2 linked regions of the Danio rerio genome follow. The protein of the gene in region 2 binds, or shares a complex with, the protein of the main gene of each other region. Links are inferred from orthologs where the notes say so. Each region holds a gene or a part of one and is shown on either strand. Other genes may lie near its edges.

Evidence for each region. Proteins that work in one complex are often made in the same cells at the same time.
Region 1: the proteins of rev1 (region 2) and polk are in contact, whole or in part, in an NMR structure (PDB 2LSI), measured with the Homo sapiens proteins. The link is inferred for Danio rerio from reciprocal best matches to the Homo sapiens genes REV1 and POLK. Residues at the interface, in NP_057400.1 of Homo sapiens: Asn1158, Leu1159, Ala1160, Gly1161, Ala1162, Asp1167, Leu1171, Leu1172, Glu1174, Trp1175, Thr1178, Ile1179, Met1183, Glu1185, Asp1186, Gln1189, Val1190; in NP_001374042.1 of Homo sapiens: Lys564, Lys565, Ser566, Phe567, Phe568, Asp569, Lys571, Arg572, Arg575.

What each region holds. Positions count from the first base shown.
Region 1 is NC_133180.1:46,859,411-46,863,068, reverse strand, and holds part of polk (DNA polymerase kappa), read right to left. Parts: intron 1,598-3,658; coding exon 1,445-1,597; intron 206-1,444; coding exon 74-205; intron 1-73. UniProt on the Homo sapiens protein: DNA polymerase specifically involved in DNA repair. Plays an important role in translesion synthesis, where the normal high-fidelity DNA polymerases cannot proceed and DNA synthesis stalls.
Region 2 is NC_133184.1:23,421,721-23,425,378, reverse strand, and holds part of rev1 (DNA repair protein REV1), read right to left. Parts: intron 2,231-3,658; coding exon 2,114-2,230; intron 2,006-2,113; coding exon 1,879-2,005; intron 1,396-1,878; coding exon 1,267-1,395; intron 1,175-1,266; coding exon 1,020-1,174; intron 705-1,019; coding exon 585-704; intron 1-584. UniProt on the Homo sapiens protein: Deoxycytidyl transferase involved in DNA repair. Transfers a dCMP residue from dCTP to the 3'-end of a DNA primer in a template-dependent reaction.

The sequences.
Region 1 (3,658 bases), on a different chromosome or scaffold from region 2:
ACAGACTCACACCTTAGACAAACAAAGGAGTTATTATGACTAATGAGCAATGCTTGACTAGGATACAACATACCTGGGCACTCACTGCTCTGTATTTGTCAAAGTTAGTTGGGACAATGACTAGATCCGGACAGAGCTTTTTAGCAATGAATCCGGGCATGGCAGCACGGACACCAAACCTTCTGGCATGATAATTGGAGGTTGACTGAAAAGAATAAAAGATTATAACGTCAACTAGAGCAGCATGATTAATCGTTACAATATCTTGATTCAAACACACTTAATCTTAATAAATGGTCACCATTACCATATATGTATTTATCTCTGTTTGGGATGTAAACACTGATGTTCATGGTGAAGATTAAAATTACCATTGATGGCTGCTCAACTGGCGACAAGCGACCATCAAAAATGAATTTGTCACTGAATAATTACTTTAAAAGATTCTAGTAATGGCACATGAAGTCTTTATGAGTGAGTTGTTGTATTATCAAAAGTGCTGTATGAAAGTTTTGACTCTCCTAAAGCATAAAAACACCATAATATGTTTGCAGATATTTAAGAAACATACTAAGAGAACATGGCTGTTTTTCTGAAAAACAATGCTGAAGTCAATTAATCTGCTTTGAAATCGTGCTTTTTCCACATGAGGTTATTAATAAGCAAATAATATAAATATTACGAGCGTAAACATTAGCTGAGCATTGTAACTTCATGTCCTAACAACAAGCTATGTGACCTGACTTGCAGTGATATGCAATTTGGCTGTTTGCACCAAACAAAACACGACATTAATTTAAATACAGCCATTTACAGGCACAAAATATGCACTTAATCATGAAATGGTAAGGTTTATAATCTATTTAATACATATTAAACCTCTTTACCATTATTAAATGTACTGAATCATGAGTTCTAAAGTTCAATTTCAAATGGTTTATTTTATTTTCAAGATCTGCTGCTGCTTTCAGTAGTATGGCAATAATTGTCATGCAAAATGGCATTTAAACTCATATTGTTAGCATTTAACACTGAATAAAGCACACGAGTTGTGCCTGAGGTGATCATTGTCAGTTTTCTGTTGTTCAGCTGCAAGAAATAGAAGCTTCCTTTTGGTCCTCAATCTGGCAACCTGCGCTCGAGTTTGTTTTGATTTAGAATACAATACCAAGTTCAACCACTGGGTGGCAAACTTACGTACTGCACCTTTAATTCAAAATTATATTTAAACAAACGAAAGATGAATATGTGAAGGTGTTCACCAGGGTAGATATTTTTCAATACATTACACGTTACAGATAGATGGCTAAAACAGAACCTCTAGAAGACTTTTGGTTATTTTGTTATGCTTTACATTCAAACTCTTGCAGCTCTGATGTCAGCACTGTGGATGTGTAATGGTGTTCAGTTAAGTTAATCAGTTAAGTCCGTTTCAGATATTTACCAACATGCTCATGGATCCCACTGCCATCGGTTTGTCCTTCAGCTCCGGACAGTCTCTCATTTCTACAGCAGCATAGAATGCATCCATGTCCACGTGAACGATCACACGACCCAGCTCTCGACTCCTCTCCAGGTCACCTGTCAGTCTGTCCACCTGTGGAGTGAAAACTCTTCAGTAATGATACTTAACTGAACAGGTAAGAAAATGGACAAATAAAACAGGCATTTAATTTTATACAAGTTTTGTGTACTAAATGTTAGGGCTGGGCGATTAATTGAAAAGTAATCGAAATCTAAAATCTAACTTTTCCAGGTTGTTTTTTTCTATTAGTTTCACAACAGCATCTGTGACGTGTCACGTGAATCCGCTCTGTTAAGGCTGATTTATACTTCTGTGTCGAGCGTATGGTACGGCGCAGCCTTTGCCTTGAGACAGCATATTTTCCATTACATTAGAATTATTATTTACATTAAAATATTTGTTCACAGAAGATTTACGAAATGCACAGTTTAAAATTTAATTTACAAGATATGCAAGGGTTATTTTATTTAAATGAAGTACTATATCTTGTCTAGAATGTATCTTGTCAATGAAGAATCTTGTCAATGAAAAACATTGAAAATAAATTAATTTATTTCCAAAAGAGCAAGTTATTTATTTTCACAATTTTATAAGAAAAAGAGTGACTGTTCATTTTAGGCAATGTGTGTTTTACTTTCAGTTGTTCAACTGTGATGTTCAATTGATAATCATAGATGGTAGATGGTAATTTACGGACGGGAAAATGCGCTTTGCACTATGGCGCATGGTCTAAATGGGTTGAGTTTATTTTCTTAATGAGTTATAGGTGTGTTTTGAGAATAAACCAATTAGAGTCTCATCTCCCATTCCCTTTAAAAGCCAGCTGCGTCGCACCAAGAGCGCATTCGCTATTTACAGGACGCAAAGTAAGTCTAAGTGGAAAAATGAGCATTTCACTAGCAAACAGTTCACAGTTAACAGTTTTTTAACAGTAAACTGTTAAACAGAGCATCTACTGCGTGAGAATGAGAGATAATGGAACTACTTTGGAAAGGGAAACCTTTACGCACAGACATCAATTAACCTATAAATAAATACTTTTGTTTGTTAAGCGCAAATATTCGTTTCAAAACTATTTCTAAATTCAGTTCTAATTTCCAGCAAACGAATAAATGAACAATAATAACAAAATGTGCTCAAAAAAGTTATATCCATATAAAACACATGCTGTGCCCCATATGGTCTAAAACCTGACAGGTGGGCAAATCTAAGCTTGTTTATAATAAAACAAATATAAATATGGATATAATAAATAATACTGCTAATAATAATAACATTATACAAAAGCAAATTGTTATGAATGAACTGAAAAAGCCTCCCGAGATGAAGAAGACATAAAAGCAGTGATTTTTCATATTTATGTAGGCTAGAAAATAATATGTTTTGTAATATTTTAATCATTTATATTTATATCCTATATCTATTCTTATTATATCCTATATATATCCTTAATATTTACATTTTTTCATATGTAAAGATATTTGCCTATTGCTCTCTTGTGCGTATTAAGCAGTGCCGGAGTTTAGACCGGGTTAGTTTTGGTCTAATGAAAAATCTATTATAGTTTCTCAAAATAGCGACGTGCCAGCGGTCCGCCTCAGAACGCCTCTCTTTTTAGACCACAACGCCTATGGGCGCACAAATGAGCGCTAATGCATTTGCTATTTAAAAAGCGTAGTGCAACGCCTTAAAACAACTCTTGCGCCAAGCTGAAACTACCAAAAGACTATTGCGCCGCGCGTTGCACCACACTGCGCCGGGTGTATGATAGGGCCCTATGTATTTTATATCATGAAATTTATGATTTTTTGCATTGTGGATTTTTTTTCATGACAATAACGCATACTTTAAAAAGCAATTGAATAATTATTTTACTTTAAAAAGTGAGTAAATTTGTTGCTCAAAGTGACAAGTTGAATTTACCCCCCAAAACAGAGCAAACCCATTGTAACTTGGAACAGTTAAGTAAACTTAATTTGTATAAATATGCAACTAGTTCATTTACTTAATATTTTAGTCAACATGTTTACTCAAATATTAAAGTAAAGACTAGGGCTGCACAATATATAGTTTTAGCATAAATATCGCAATGTGCGCAAATGAAATAGTCGCATCGCAGGATTTGCAATGTTG
Region 2 (3,658 bases):
TGTCGAGATTTTGACTATGAGCCAAATTGCCCAGCCTTACAGTAAAAACATTTACATATTCATCAAAAGGTTTCTAATAAATTCATTTTCCCCCTTACTATTTGTCAAAGAATCTTGTTTAAATTTTAGATAGTTTCCACAACAGTATTGAGCGTCAGATCTGATTTGTGACATGATACTAAAGTAAATAGTTTTCTGGTTTAGTGCTCTTCACCATTTTCCTTTGAGTTATTTAATGTTCACAACAACCTGTAGCTCTATAATTAACAAATCTATAGTTGTAAAATTTACTTTACTTTACATTAAACACAACATTATCTGTGAAAACTGGACTGAAGCGGTTTTTAATTTGCTAGAACTTAAATGTACAGTATGTTAAGCTGCTTTATGAAATGTTTATTAACATGAGTAGTGGGTCATGAAAAGTTCAACTTTGCCATCCCACGAATAAACAATATTATAAAATAAATTACAACAGAAAACGGATATCTTCAATTGTAACAATATTACACAATACAATGTAAGTTTGAGTGTTAGAATTGTTTTGATCTTTTGGATGAAAGTGTAGGATGCTCTGTTCTCACCAGGTAAACTGGACACAGGCTGGTCTCTAATAAAATCATCCACTTCCTCTGATCTGAGTAAATACTGCCCTTTGGGTTTAGCCTTACGGGTTGCCATCCGAGCAAGTAGGATGTTGGAACCTGTTAAAAAGCATAAGCATTATTATCAGAGATAAACCTGCACCAGCAACTGCATTATAAATAGACACACTGATATTAAAGTCCTTTTAGAGAAAAGAAAAGTTGATTCTGTATTCATGACAATATTGTTGCAAGGCTCTGTATGACTTTTAAAATGAATAACTTTAGAAGCGTTAACCAAAGACAGTTCATAAGATTTAGGACATTAAAAGTTTGACTAACACATTGTTATGCATATCTCTTTTTGAGTTTGATGGAAGAACAAAAAAGTAACCAATTCGAAAAAAAATAAGGGTGATTAATAAAGTCTTTTACTCATTCCAACTGAGGCACAGCAGCCAGTCTTCTCCTTTATGTCTTCACGGATGGACCGTGCCAGTTCATCAGGAGACACCCCCAGCTCAACCAGAAGAGCTGTGGCATCAACCAGTGCCTCGTCACAGCTCAGCGCCTCAATGTTATGAGTGTAACTGTAAAATAGGCAAACAATAAGCAAGAGAACTTCTGTACTCATCTGCTGAGTTTAAGAATAAAGACAGTAATGAAGCATTACAACTGGTACCTGGCCAGGATCTCATACATGGCCAGAGCCACCTCTTTATAAGCATGGAAGTCATATGGAACAGACTGCAGATCTGGACACAGCTGCTTGGCCCTACCAAAGAACATGCCATTTCGCACACCAGCCTGCCTGTAAAAGAGAGTGAGGACAGTTTTTCAAATCATCATTTTTAAAAAAAAATCTTCTGCTAGAAGGCACACAGTTTTAAAAAACTCAAATGTTTTATGGCGTTTTATTCAAGCCCAACATTTCTATTTGCTTTAAAGCCATCTATAATAATTCATATACTTATATTGTTTTTACTTAAATGACATAAAGTAAGATTAAACAAGCATTAAAATGACAGCTATAGATAAAGCCACAATAAGCTCATGGAACAAACCATAGTACATGTAATCTGTAACAAATGGCATTATGATGAACTAAAAATGTCCTGCCTACATTAAATATTTTAGACAATAGTGATATTTGGTTGGTGCTGAAAAATATTAAAACCATGTGGAATTTGTTATTTACATGTAGAAAAATCTCAAAATGGGCAGATATGAAACATTGAAATTTTTTGTTGTGGGCAGCATGTTGCAGGAAAGTGGCCAGGTTTGCAATAATTACCTGGCCTCGTAACTACAAGAGGCAATCTCTGCCATAGAAAGGGCAGCCAGGTCTTCATGCACTCCATTACTGGGAACTTCACCATCCTGTGGAGATGGGGTCATCTCAAGATCCCCATCTGTCTTCTCTAAAGCACAAAAAGGACAAAGGTCGGCTAGTTACAAACTTGCAAAAACCTCTAATAAATTAATTCTGAATTTTGTGACAACATATTTCTTTAAAAATCTGGGCTCACCTTTCCTGTAATGTTTCTGTTTATTCTGGTAATACTGAAACTCAAGCTGAGGGTTTGCACCAGGGCGCTGAGCAACACGGCCTGGACCACGATTACTAGTCACCGCAACTGGTTTCCCTGTAGTACAAATTGACCATCAGTAAAGCTCAGTTTAAGTTAAAGTGGGCTTGAAGGCCTAATTTATACTTCTAAACTTAACATGCGTTTTAATTAATCTGATCACCAAGTCTGTCACGATAGTGAAATTTGGCTGTCTAAGAAATATTTGCAATTATGCAAATGATCATCTATTTCGGTGCATTGATATTTAGTAGGATGCTTTTCTTGGCTCCATAAAGAAATCTAATATATTGTCAAGCTGAATACCTTGGGCTAAAGAGGGCCAGCTGGGGCTTCGAGGCGGAGTGAAAGGAGAGGCGGACTTTGCCCGAGTCTGGTAAAGAAGGCATGCCGTCATTACACTAGTTTTCCGATCGCACACGAGTAAATGCGCCAAATAAGCAAATAAATAAATAAATAAGGGAAAGAAAACATATAGCCTTATGGGCCGCGGGTCGTTTTGCTTAAGATCACCCTTCTGCTTCCCCTTTAAATGTAAGGGTGTTGCATAAAATAATAAAGTTTTAATTTCTAAGTGACTTTTCTTTGCTGCGTCCTCTTTGATGTTTCAATAACGCATAATAATCTTTACACCATATTAAAGACACAGCAGCCAATGAAGGTTGTCGAGAGTTTTTGTCAAGTTTAAAAGGCGTGTTTATGCGTGATACATGTAACACACACAACACACACAACACACACACACACCAATATAAACATTAGGAAGATTTGCCACAATGAGTAATTGACAGTGCTGGTTTTTGAAGATTATAAACTACAGTTTGTGCTTTTCAAAGAGAAAAGAAGCTGAAATATCATGACCTATTGCCAAGTATGGTGTCCCATACTCAGAAATGGAGCTCCTGCATATCTGCAGCCACAAAAGAACACTTACAAAAGTCACAACCTGCAGACCGAACATGGCTTTATAGGAAATTAAGTGAGAAAGGACAACAAAACAAGGCATTCATACTTTGCCATGTTGTACCAAATCAACCCACATTATCATCAAAAATGCATTTGTCATTCACATTCTTTTCATTTGCTTGCTTTACTGCTCACTCATAACATGCGTTCATTTATTTTTTGAGAATAAAAATTATGCATTTAAGCCACAGTCACAAGAGTTTGAACATATAAAATTCTGTGGTCGTCGTAGTGAAATAGGCAGATTAGTAAAAGATTATGTTGCGTTGATAATAAGAGCGATTCTAGTCTGCATTTCTGTACAGTGAACTGCTATTGGTCTTACAAAATCATGTGATGCGAATTCGCAGATCAGAGCTTGAACTTTGAAATGCATCAACACATGAAATTGTCGCACAAGGTTATGTTTCCAGTCTGGGGTGTTCATATGACAACCCCCTTACTTACACAAAAATAATGTGGATCAGTGCAAAATAAAGAGCAAAATTTAAAGAGCAAAAATCTATTGGTCACAATAGA